Cricetulus griseus: one gene and its partners. The protein of the gene in region 1 purifies or fractionates together with the protein of each later gene. This does not show direct contact. Links are inferred from orthologs where the notes say so. Each region holds a gene or a part of one and is shown on either strand. Other genes may lie near its edges.

What was found.
Region 2: the proteins of Rngtt (region 1) and Ppp4r3a purify together in Homo sapiens (affinity purification with mass spectrometry; 3 studies listed by BioGRID and IntAct, with this or other methods). This does not show direct contact. The link is inferred for Cricetulus griseus from reciprocal best matches to the Homo sapiens genes RNGTT and PPP4R3A.
Region 3: the proteins of Rngtt (region 1) and Supt5h purify together in Homo sapiens (affinity purification with mass spectrometry; 3 studies listed by BioGRID and IntAct, with this or other methods). This does not show direct contact. The link is inferred for Cricetulus griseus from reciprocal best matches to the Homo sapiens genes RNGTT and SUPT5H.

What each region holds. Positions count from the first base shown.
Region 1 is NC_048595.1:108,704,990-108,709,352, reverse strand, and holds part of Rngtt (mRNA-capping enzyme), read left to right. Parts: intron 1-1,965; coding exon 1,966-2,041; intron 2,042-3,084; coding exon 3,085-3,325; intron 3,326-4,363.
Region 2 is NC_048598.1:104,710,700-104,715,062, reverse strand, and holds part of Ppp4r3a (serine/threonine-protein phosphatase 4 regulatory subunit 3A), read right to left. Parts: coding exon 4,357-4,363; intron 3,564-4,356; coding exon 3,421-3,563; intron 2,178-3,420; coding exon 1,987-2,177; intron 1,579-1,986; coding exon 1,352-1,578; intron 1-1,351. UniProt on the Homo sapiens protein: Regulatory subunit of serine/threonine-protein phosphatase 4. May regulate the activity of PPP4C at centrosomal microtubule organizing centers.
Region 3 is NC_048602.1:7,548,685-7,553,047, reverse strand, and holds part of Supt5h (transcription elongation factor SPT5), read right to left. Parts: intron 2,631-4,363; coding exon 2,465-2,630; intron 1,879-2,464; coding exon 1,813-1,878; intron 1,280-1,812; coding exon 1,268-1,279; intron 869-1,267; coding exon 799-868; intron 680-798; coding exon 611-679; intron 454-610; coding exon 388-453; intron 197-387; coding exon 166-196; intron 1-165. UniProt on the Homo sapiens protein: Component of the DRB sensitivity-inducing factor complex (DSIF complex), which regulates mRNA processing and transcription elongation by RNA polymerase II.

The DNA of each region.
Region 1 (4,363 bases):
ATGTACCACAATGCTGGAAGTTGAACTCAGGGCCTAAATATTCTACCTTAGTTGTTATTCAAATATTTTTAACATTGTGTGTTTATGTGTGAATGTGAGTGTGTGTGTGAATGTCTGGGTGCACATCTGCATAGCAGGTATGTGGGGGTTCAGAGGGCAGTTTACAGGAGTTGGTTCTCTCCTTCTACCATGCAGATTCTGGGTATTAAACTCAGGTTGTGAGGCTTTATGGCAAGTACCTTTACCTTCTCACTTCATATATATATATATATATCATATATATATATATATATATATTTTAAATTAGGATGTAGCTTTATGTTCTAGGCTGGTCTCACCAAACTTTAGCTTCACTCTTCTAAATAATGGGATTTCTTGTGTGGGGTACCACACTTGGTTTCTGTGAGAGTTCATTCTGAGTCTGCAGGAGACTAGCAGCAATATTAGTTAGTAAAGCCATAGAACTCTTAATTTTTTCCTTTTATATTTTTGAGACAGTGTTTTTCTGTGCATCCTTGGCTGTCCTGGAACTTGTTCTGTAGACTAGGCTGCCTTCGAACTCAAGAGATCCGCCTGCTTCTGCCTCCGGAGTGCTGTGCAGTGGTCAGGCTTTAATTACTATTTCCAAACTCTCTGTTGTTTTTCGCTTTGAGACAGGGTCTTACTATGTAGCCCAGACTGGCATTACTCTTGGACTAATCTTTCTGCTTCAGGCTTTTCAATACTGGAATGAAAATAGGGATGAAAAAGCTTAAAACGGTTAAAATGATCCCTTCCACTTCTCTCCTTCCCTCCATCCCTCCCATAGCCTAGCTTTGCCTTAACTTGCTGTATAGCTGTAGGTGACCTTGAACTTCTGATCATCCTCCTTATATTTCCTAAGTGCTTTGATTCCAGGGTGTATCACCATGCCCAGGGAAATGATCTTGAATATATTGTGAAAGAGGGTTTAAGAAAAATAAATTTATTTTCTTCAGGTGTTTCTTTCTTGTAAAAATTCATTTTAAAATAGTATAAGCCCCATGTGAAGGTACACTCAGTTGGTTTATAAAGCACTTCAAAATAATACAGGTTTACTATATTGAGTCAGTCCATTATCTGCAGCTGTCTTAGTCAGTGTCCTATTACTGTGAAGAGACACCATGACCATTGACAACTCTTATAAAGGAAAGCATCTAATTGGGGCTGGCTTACAGTTTCAGAGATTTAGTCCATTGTCATGGCAGGGAGTGTAGTGGCATGCAGGCAGACGTGGTACTAGAGAGATAACTGAGAGTTCTGCATCTGGAATGGCAGGCAGCAGGAAGAGAGAGACACTGGGCCTGGCTTGACCTTCTGAAACCTCAAAGCCCATCCCCAGTGACACACTTCCTCCAACAAGGTCACTTCTATTGCAACAAGGCCATGTGTCCATATCCTTTCAAATAATGCCGCTCCCTATGAGCCTATGGGGACCAGTTTTATTCAAACCACTACAGCTGCCAATCACTTTAGTTGATTACAGTCAACTACTGTTAATCCCCAGATGATTTTATATCCCATATGGTTTTTTTGGTCTGAATTTTGACTTTCTTTCCCAATACAGTTTGACTATCTTTCATGTTGATCATAAGGAAGGCTGGGAAAACTGGATTATAAGGTGCCTTGTTTTTGTGTGTATCCTTCTGACCTGTGTGTTTAAAACTAAAATTCTTGAAAAATTTTAATGTCAAATTTTAGACGGTAGAGTTTTAGACCAATAAACCAGTGTATTATTTTAGAATTTTTGTCTAGTGCTGTAAGTTAGAGCCTAAACAACTTAAATTAATAAGCTATTAGTTAAAGGAGTATTTTGAATTTTTAGAATGTATAAATGTGTAGTGTAACTAAGTAATTAACTGAACTGTTTGGAAAGCAGGTTGTCATTTAAAACAGAATGTGGCATTTGGAGTGGTTCAGTTTAACCCAAGCTGCTTTCTCTTCTAGGTGTTCACTGCACCCATGGCTTCAACCGGACTGGTTTCCTCATATGTGCCTTTTTGGTGGAGAAAATGGATTGGAGGTATATAGATTTATTATAGTGGAAGAAGATGTATGTGACAATTCATGGTGCTTATGAAGCCTATAAAATGGTGTACTTACTTTTCCATGTTGTTCTTGTATTTTAGAATTAGCACAGGTTGGGTCTTCCAATGTTTGTGTTTGTATTCAGCTTTGGAGATGTCTGTTGTTTTCCTTTTTAAATTTATCTTTTATAGCTGTTAATTACTAGTAAAAACATACAATGCTATATGAAGGAAGCATTTTAGGATGGCATTACCCCATTTAAATAAATCTTATCTTTATTGAACATGTTACTTGTAAAGTATATTTTTAGATTTTGAGGGATTAGAACCTAGTAATCTGGAATTCTTATGAGGATAGGATATTGCTGACTGAATTTTCTTATTACTGCTCTAGGTTCATAGTTTATATTTCTAAAACCTTATACCCAGTTGGTCCTTTTTTTTTGTAATACAGTAAGGCAAAATATGGATCTGACTGTTTTCTATTCGTTTACACTCAGTGGTTTTCTACTTTGTGTATTTTTCAGCTTTGGCCATTCAGAATACTATATACAATAACATCAGACTCATATGCCAGACTCAGCCAATGCTTCCCTCCCTCTCAAGATGTGTAATCTTGGTGACTGGGTCTGGGTCCATTGGCAGTTTCTTAAAAATCAATGTGTTTGTTTACTTTGCTGTTCACTTTTTCTTGACTGCTCTTTTATCTATGAGACCTTGACCTTCAATGTTTTATTAAGATTTCTTTTCATTGGCTATCCATGTCTGTCATAAACACAGCAATGTACTTTAGACATTTATAATATACTATATATTAGAAAATACTAAATATTATAGTGGACTATATGTTGCAGTATACCATGTGCATGTGTTTTTAGAATCAGTTTGTCATTGAGTGAAAACTTTCCTGATAAAGAAAGATTTTAGTTTGTCTATTTTATATGCCTGTTATACTTTTTGTGGTATGTTGGGTATGAGTTGTTGATAAGTCCACATAAATGGACACTAGTGAGAAAATTGCATTGATTGTTTTCCATAGCATTGAAGCAGCAGTTGCTACATTTGCCCAAGCCAGACCACCAGGAATCTATAAGGGTGATTATTTGAAGGAACTTTTTCGTCGCTATGGTGATATAGAAGAAGCACCACCACCACCTGTATTGCCCGATTGGTGTTTTGAGGATGATGATGAAGATGATGAGGATGAAGATGGGAAAAAGGACTCAGAACCGGGGTCAAGTGCTTCCTTTGGTAAAAGGAGAAAAGAACGGTTAAAACTGGTAATGTTCACAAATACTGAATATTCTTTTAAAAGTGTAATTTAATTTTAATTACATTCATTTATTTTGTATATATGCATGCTTGAATGTATGTGCCTTTGTATGGGAATGGCACAATATGCCTTTGGAGGTCAGAAGGGAACTTGTGGGAGTCAGTGTTTTTTTCATACTATGTGTGGGTCCTGGGGTCAAAGTCAGGTTGCCAGGATAACTGCAGGAGCCCTTACCTGCTGAGCCATCCTGATGTCCCCAAATACCATACCATAGTACTCTGTTTTTGTTTAAACTTAGTGTGGGATGTTCTCTCTCTCTCTCTCTCTCTCTCTCTCTCTCTCTCTCTCTCTCTCTCTGTCTGTCTGTCTCTCTTTCTGTATATCGAAGAGCATAATAGTGGTCTCTGATTTTATGAAATTAATTTTGGTTCTATGTGAAACCCATTAAGTAAGTTCTGACATCATGAACCAGATGGAGACCTCAAGTCCAGGCTCATCTCAACTCCCAATCCTCCTGTCAGAGTGTTGAGTAATATTCTTAATGCTGAGATAGATTATAGGCATTCCCCACCATGTCTCACTTTTAAAGATTAGCCAGCCAATTGGTCTTTAAAGTTTTGTCTTACAAAATTATTTATTCGTTGGATAGAGGGACTTGCCTGTTGTGGTGAGAATGTGAGGTCAAGAGCCACTTGTGGGACTTATTCTTCTTCATCCATCTTGTGCTTTCTGGGATCAAACTCAGATTGTCAGCCTTGGAAACAAGTGCCTTTACCTGCTGAGCCATTTTGCAGCCTAGCAGTCTTTCTTTTTCTTCAGAGAAAAGCTGAAGTTAAGAAATTTCATCCTTGTTTTGTTTCTTATGTAAACCAAAGAACTCCTAGATGTTAGATTGGCATTAGCTAATAAACTACTAACTGCATTTAGTATTAACAATAGACTTAGTATATTACCTAATAACCATTGAGAATGTTTCTGCAAAATAGTCATACAGGTAATGTCACTGTCCCCTGCCATAGGTGGTGTTTCTTTTGTAGTATATACA
Region 2 (4,363 bases), on another chromosome or scaffold:
TGTTTCTCTGTAGCTTTGGCGTCTGTCCTGGAACTCCCTGCCTCTGCTTCCTAAGTACTGGGATTAAAGGCATGTGCTGCTACCACCACCTGAACTTTGTAAGGTTCTTTCAAGCTACTAAAAACTAAAACAGAAACAAAAAAATTATACTCTACTAGAAAATCACCCAGGAACAGAAACACCACTGAGAAATGGCTATAACTAACAGTGTATAAAATTCATTTTTTAAATGGGGCTGGAGATTGAAGTCAGGGCTTCGTATGTCTCAAGCCAAGGGCTCTACTACTGCAACATACCCAGACTTCATTTTTACCTTTTGAGCCAGAGTTCACTTAAGTTGCTCAGGCAGGCCTTCAGCTAGCAATCTTCCTTCTCCAAAGTAGCTAAGCTAGGATTATCAGCCTGTACTACAATGTCTGGCTCAAACTTATTTCAAAATAAAGTAAAAAATGGTATCAAAACACAGATTACTCAAAATGAAAGCAGATAAGAAAGTAGTTCTATTATTTCTCTTCTGGGTTTCCCTTTTAGTCTGCTTCCCCACCATAAACTATAGTACAACTCGAATAGCTATGAAAATTCATAGTACTCTGCTACCAGCCCGTGCCTTCTTCCCAACATGTCTGACTCAGCCTTAGCACTGAGGGATCTCCTGCCAGTGTCAGATGAAATGAGACCGTGGGGCCAGTGACATGGCACAGCAGGTAAGGGGTCTTTCTATCAAGCCCTATGACCTAAGCTTGATTCCTGGGTCCCACATGGTGGAAGGAGAGAGCAGACTCCTTCAAGTTGCCCTCTGACTTTCACATGCTGTGGTGTGTCCACACACAAAAACATTTTAAAGAAAGAACTAAAGAATAGACTGGACAGCACTATGAATTATACTGGCATTATACCAGTATAATTAGTCTGGTCTAATTGCTATTATTAGTTTTATGTTCTTTTTTTGGGGGTGGGGGTGGGCGGAGCATGCTGAAGTAGCAAAAGCCATCAAAACAAATGCCCCCTTTTTTGGGGGGTGGGGTGGGGTGGGGTGGAGTGGGGCTGAGACAGGGTTTCTCTGTATTGTTTTGGAGCCTGTCCTGGAACTTGCTCTGTAGACCAGGCTGGCCTTAAACTCACAAAGATCCGCCTGCCTCTGCCTCCCGAGTGTTGGGATTAAAGGCCTGTGCTACCAGCGCCCAGCCAGACTAAATTTTGTACAGGACACGTGAGGTGACTTCAGGTAGTGAACAGTTTTTAGCTAGTTCCAGAAAAGAGAATCAAAGAAATAAAATCTAGGCACACTGACCACTGAGAAAGCTTAAAGCACAGCAGAGAAGGACCACCATGTGGGGAGAGAGAGGTGTACCTTTGTGGTAATAGCTGCCGTCTGAGATGTACTCTTAGGGACGGATCCAGGAGAGCCTGGAGAGCCCGGGGACCCAGGTGACCCTGGAGAGCCAGGCAGGCTTGCTGCCGACGACTGGCTGCTGAGGTTAGTCTTTGTCCCACTGGACAGGGAGAGTTTGAAACTTGGGCTCTGTCGTCCAGAAAGGTTAGTTTTCAGAAGCACCTCCTTTTCTTCACTTTCTTTCACTAAAATGAGAGTGTAAAAATAGTTGTCACTCATTTTTTTTCTGAATTCCTCTAAAAGAAGTGACACTAAAAAACAACCAGCTTATTTCTTTGCTCAGGTTGCAACTCTGACGTCCAACCTATTAACAAAGCCTATCCAAGTACTAAATGTTAATATCCAGCAAATTTTACAGCACAGAAGAAAGACCTTTGGTATCACATTTAGTATTTATACCCCCCAGCCCTTCAAACTATTTTCCTTAAACTAGGAAAACTCAGCCTACACCTTTACAGTCAGAAACTCAGCAATGTCCTGTAGGTCTTTGAACTGTCATTGTATATTCTGAGTAGATACTAATCATTTTCTCAAGAAATAAAAGACCTGGACTGAGAGAGCCTCACTTTCCCTTGCCCACTGTTTTAACATACATTTCTTCCTTTCCATGAATTTACTTATTGGATCCATGATATCATCATCATTCTTAGTTTTGTCAGATGGAGACACCACAGCTTCTCCATCTTCCATGTCATCTTCATCTGTGTTGAACCACATCTCTTCCTCATCTTCAAGAGTTCTGGCATCCCGTCGATATCGATGATTCCTCAAGATGGACCGCATGCTATGAGAAAATGGAAGGCTGTAAGGGGATGAGGTACCGGGTGTGATCCCTGTCACCACCAAGACCAAATACCAAACCACAATGGAACAATTACTAATTAAAAGTCAGACCCTATCAAATCTAATATAAACTAGTATAATCCAACTTCAAATTTCTAAAATGCTAACTGTTATAGCTCAATTATTAAGCCTGATAATGATGGGAATTAAGTAATTACTGTATAGATTATAAACCATACTACAAAGGCTAGAGATGGTACAGTAGTTAGGACCTGTGTTCAATTCCCAGCATCTAATAGCAGCTCACAACCATTTGTATCTCCAGTCCTAGGGGATCCAACAACCTTTTCATCTTTTGTGGCTATTAGGCATGTACATGCAGACAAACCACATATATACTAAAAAATTAGCTGGACAGTATTGGTACATGCTTTTAATCACAGCACTCAAGAGGCAGAGACAGATGGATCTCTGTGAGTTTGAGGCCAGCCTGGTCTACTGACTGAGTTCCACGATAGCTTCCAAAGCTAAACAGAGAAATCCTGTCTTGAAAATCCCCAAGCTCCCCTTCTGGAGAAGGAAGAGGTAGAAGAAGAAACTAATGGGAAAAAAACAACCAATACTACAAGTGTGAATCTAGTTAAATAACTAGAAGGTATATGGCATTTAAAAAAACAATTAAGATAATATTCTTTTGTTTTGTTTTTCAAGACAGAGTTTCTCTGTGTAACAGTCCTGGAACTTGCTTTGTAGACCAGGCTGGCCTGGGATTAAAGCTACTACCACCTGGTTAAGATAATATTCTGATCATGTGAAACCTCACTACTATATCAGTTTATGTTGGTATCTAAAGATCTTACTATAATTCATCTACACTTTCAGAAACAAACAAGCAAAATTAGCACACAGGTTGCCACGATGGCTTAAAGAATAAAGGTGTGTTCTACCAAGTATGACAAACCTGAGTTTGAACCTCAGAACCCAAACGGTGGAAGAAGAGACCCAACTCTTGCAAGTTGTTCTGAGACAAACCCATCCCAAAGTACATGTATTTGAAGATACACACATGCATAAAATAAATGTTGAAGAAAAAGACAATGGCAATTCCCTCCACTCCCCACAATTTCTGAGCATGTTTTCCCCATCTTCTCTCTACAGCCAACTCAAATACCGCCAAGAACCGAGAAAGCCAGCACACAATCTACTGCTGAATGGAGAACATGTTCAAATATGCAGTAACTTACCTGTCAAGTTTGGGGTTGTCTTGCCTTTCTCTTTGTTGTTCAAATCTCAATTTTAATCCTTTAAAAGTCTGCACATAATCTACATCTTCTAGTGCTTTCCAATAATTTTCAATTACATGGGCAGTTAATGATTTTATATCTTCCTACAGAAAAGAATTGTAAATAAATAAATCAGACACATAGACACAACTTTAACAAAATGAGGCATTATTACAGTAGTTCCTAAAACTCACCAAAAGTTTATCTCATAAACTTATAAACTTAAAAATAGTCAAACAATGAAAATGGGAATAACATATACTACACTGGCACCATCAATAGTATGCAGCTTTTGGTCTATCTGGGAATTGTCCACAGGTGTTCCCAGCGTGTATGTCCAACCAAGCCCTATTCTAGTGATTCTGGTTCCCAAAGACTGGACACAGTGGTACACACCTGCAATCCCAGAACTTACAAAGGCTTGAGGCAGGAGAATGGTCATGAGATCGAGGCCCACATAAACCGTAGGGCAAGACTCTCCCTAATCTCAAAAACATACTAAATAACAGAAAAAGTCTACAGTAAAGTTCTGGAGATGGACTTCTGTGGCTGTTGTGCAGTAACATAAAAGATACTACCCTTTGAGAATACATCTGACAATGAAGAAAATCACAAGCATTTGACATTCTGTGTATCTTATCACAATTCTTTTTGTTTGAAAGGGTATGAGGAGTACTAGGATTAAACCGAGCCACCACACCCAGTATATTTATCACAGCTCTAAAAAGCATGCCAGATAGTTTTGCACACATTATTTGTTGGTTTTTTTTCCCTAATTAGCCTGAATTGAATTACTTTTGGATTTTTGGTTGCATGGTTCTTAAAACAATCTCAACATTCATTCTCAAGACAAAAGACAGATACTCAAATTTCTCAAATTAAGAAGACAGAACCTACCACTCTA
Region 3 (4,363 bases), on another chromosome or scaffold:
CACTAAGGGAGAAGAAAGGGAAAAAGCGGGGTGACAGAGAGAGACAGACAAGGAAAGGAGCACAGAGAGGCAGCTACAGAGAAGGACACAGAGACTAGCTGTCCAAGAAGATCCAGAGAAGACAAATGGTCCTCCCCTACCACAGCCCAAGGCCAGAACACTCACCTTACACTTGACCGTCCACAGGTTGGGGTCCCTACAGAGCACAGGATTAGCAGGACAAAGTTACCAAAACTGTCTCCTCAGTAATACACAATCCACACCATTTGCCCTGCTTCAGCCCAGGGCCCAGCTCTCATCAATTACACACAGGGGGTCTTACTTCCCCCACCCTCCTGCATGTCTGCACCCCACCTTCGGCCTTCTACCCTTCTCCCACTCTCTTACTTGACTCCGGGGAGCAGCTGCTGCTGGGTGATGTCGTCCGAGAGCTCATCAGACCCTCCATACACCCTAGAGAGAGCAGGGTTGAGAAAGAAGGGGATGGTGCTCCACCAGACCCCCCATACACCCTAGAGAGGACAGTGTTGGGAAAGAAGGGGATGGTGCTCTAACAGATCACACCTGCTTACCACCCAGGACCGCCCGCGCCTGCCCACCAGGCACTTACGTCTCTCCCACAGATGACTTAGCGTATTTCTTCATATAATACTCGCCCAGCTCTTCTTCTCTCTGGTCCCTTGGGTACGAGGGGGGGAAAACAGACATGGAGAAAAGTGGAGGACCGGAGGGCAGGCTGACCTGCCCCACGTCTGTCCAAGGAAGCTGGGTTCCACCCAGGTCTCCTCACTTGCTTACCTCCAGAGATTTTGCAGGCGGCGAGCCCCAGAACGGTCTTCATCCAGAACAACGTTATCAATATTGGAGGCTGGAAACAGAGGTGCAGGGAGCGTCAGGCTAGAAATGGGCTTGGGGATTTTGGGGCCAGAACTGGCCCTGGGGCAGGAGATACCGGGCTGAGTAACCCCCACCCTCTTCCCCCACCCTCTGTCCTCCTCAACTCCCTGCTTCTCAGCATATGTGCTCAGGGATAGGTCCAGTTGCTGGGGGGAGGGGACATTCATCAGTTCTTCATCTCACAGTCACCCTGCGCTCCCCTGCTTCAGACTCCTGCCTGCACTACATCTAGACCTATGGGCACAGGAATGTCTAAGCTCCCTAGGTCGGACACCCAAGACTGCCTAGCCCTGCACCCAGGTGAGTCACAGCCCCAGGGCCACAAAGGAGATGGGAGGAGAGCCACAGACCACACTTGCCCAGTTCTTACCTTCAATCTCTTCTACTTGGAGGAAGAGGAGAAGGTGGTGGTGGTGGTGGTGGTGGTGGTGGTGGTGGTATGCAGGGTAGACAAAGTATGAGCCAAATTATAGCAGCAAAATCAACCAATGGGGTGGGGCAAAGGGAGGGACACAGGAAGGTCAAAAACCAAAAGTAAAGGCCAGGCATCAGGTGGGTGAGGAGAAGCCGAAATGTATGAGGCGCACAGAACGGAAACTAACAGGGAAGGGGGCACTGGCCCAGCAAGTGGGGGGTATTGTGGGACCGAGCCCACCCACCCTACACCCCACAAAAGGGATACCCAGAATACTCTCTCTGTACCACCACCCACCCAACAGTCCCCGCCCCCCACTCATGGGCCTAAAAGGAAAAGGATTGGGGGAGCCGTCTCTCTGGCAAGGACAGAAAGAAGCAAGGTGAAGAGAGTGAGAGTTGGGGTGGTTGCAGGGCATGGGGTATGGGGAAGGGCTTAGAAGACACCCTCCCAGGCACAGCCACACCCCACGTGATCTCGCAGGCAGGTCCCACACACACCTTTCTCCAGGATGTCTTCAGCTCCATCTTCCCACTGGTCCTCGTCCTCATACTCATCGTCTACATCTGAAATGGGAAAGCCAGGTGGTCAGCAGGGATGAAAGGTGACCTCAGAACAGCAGCTCCGCTAGCAAGAATTCTTTATACAAGGTCATGCCACAGACTGGTACAGTGGAGGCGGTGTCATGTGGACCCACCTATCTCTAAAGGCCATCTCCTCCTCCACTCTACCCCAACCACACATATCCCTTCTAAACAAATACAACCAGAGCTGGCATGGTGGCACACCCTGTAACCACAGCATTCTGAGTCAGGCCCCATAGTACAGGCCAGGCACCCCGACTACATGAGAGGCTAAGCAGAAAACTGCAAGTTCAAGGTCAACTTAGGCTACACTGTCAGTTCAAGGCCAGCCTGAGCAACTTAGCAAGACTCTGTCTCAGAATAAAAATAAAGAGGGCTGAGAATATGGCTCAGAGGCTGTAACACTTGCCTAGAATCCACCAGTGAGGTTCTGGGGATGTGGCTCTGGAAGAGTCAACCCCACTACCTCATATGCATGTATATACACATACACAACACTGGAGCCACACACAGTCTCATGTCTCGTGTACTTCAAGCTTGCTCAATGCTTCCAGGCCCTATGACATACCAGCCTCATCCAAAATGAAGCCCCCATGGCGTGGTTTCTTTGGGGGCCGGTCATCGTCTTCCTCCTCTTCCTCCTCATCGTATTCCTCCTCTTCCTCCTCCTCCTCCTCCTCCTCAGGCTCCTCATCCTTTTCACTGCCTGCTGCACTCCGCCGTCCATCTTGACCCTGTAGGGTCAAGCAGAGTTGGGGCACCAGCGTTCTACTCTCCACAAATCCAGAAACCTTGATGTCTCACTCACACACACACCTCTCTCTCTCTCCCTCTCTCTCCCTCTCTCTCCCTCTCTCTCTCTCTCTCTCTCTCTCTCAGACACACACACACACACACACACACACACACACACAGAGAGAGAGAGAGAGAGAGAGAGAGAGAGAGAGAGAGAGAGAGAGAAAGAGAGCTCACAGTCCCTACCTGGCCAGGCCTTAGGTTACTGTCCTAACTCAAGTGACAGCACAGCCATGTCCCAGACACCCAACCAGCCCCTGGGAGCCAATCCCTTCACTGGATCCCTTGCTCTGAGGGTCATTAAGCGGCTGTACCTTGTGATTGGTCATCAGCCCCACTCTGTGCTTCCTGAAGAGTCCCTCCCTCTGGATCTGTTTGAGGTAGTGAATACTTACCCATCGATGGTCTCTGGTGCTTCCCTTGCACTTCCTCTACCACTAACCCAAGGTCAAATGCTACCTCTGGTAAGGCAGACTGCCTTGGAACTCACTGTGGCCTGGGCTAGTCTTGAACTTGTGGCAGTGTTCCTGTTTGTTTCCCAGCAGTGGGTTACAGGTGTAACCAGCACACCTGGCTTCCACTCACCTCTTAAAGGCAGCTTTAGATGGAGTTAGCGCTCTGTCAGGGCCATGATTCTCCTTCCTCCCACACCTCTGTCAGTGGGCCATTTACCCTTCATTACCACAGCTCCCTCCCTTATCTGCTGCTGATGCCCACATGCCGCTACCTCTCCACTTTCTCCACATACAGAGTCCGTGCCACGTGCAGCAGTCTCTGGGTCACCTCCCTAGATACCCTCTGGGTACACCAGACCAACAGTCTCTGTCCTGTGTCCACTGTGACCACAGTGCTGTCCCCAGAGCCATGCTGGCTCCAGCTCTCCCTTTCTGCCTGTGACTGTCACTGCTCCAGGCCCTTCCACTCAATGCGTCCCAAGCCTAGACCAGCACATTGCCCTCCAGCACTGGACCCTGGCCTTGCTCTCCTCTGAACACCCCCTGGTTTCTTCCTTCCCTTCCCTTCCCTTCCCTCCCTCCCTCCTTCCTTCTCCCTGAGACAGCATTTCTCTGTGTAGCTCTGGCTGTCCTGGAACTTAACTCTGTGGACTGGGCTGTCCTGAAATTGACAGCTCCGCCTGCCTCTCTGAGTGCTGAGATAAAGGTGCATGCCACCACCATCCAGCTCACTCCCTGGTTTTTTGTTTTTGTTTTTTTTCCCCCGGTTTTTTCAAACAGAGTTTCTCTGTGGCTTTGGAGGCTGTCCTGGAACTAGCTCTTGTAGACCAGGCTGGTCTGGAACTCAAAGAGATCCTCCTGCCTCTGCCTCCTGAGTGCTGGGATTAAAGGCGTACGCCACCAACGCCCAGCTCACCCCCTGGTTTTTAATCCCTGTTCTGTAGATGGATTTTTCTCTGGGCCATCAGCTCACAAATAACTTCACAGAGACTTATTATTAATTATGAAAGCTTGGTCTTATCTTAAACTTACTCCACTAGCTCTCGTAACTTAAATTAGCCTATTTATATTAACTTTTCTTTCCCCTTCTGTATGTCCCACTTGTTCCGTGTTTCTCTCAGGCCTAGATTCACCTCCTCTTCCTTTCTCTCCCTGGGAATCCTGCCCCTCCTGCCCAGCTATTGGCCATTCAGCTTTTTATTACACCAATCAGCAAA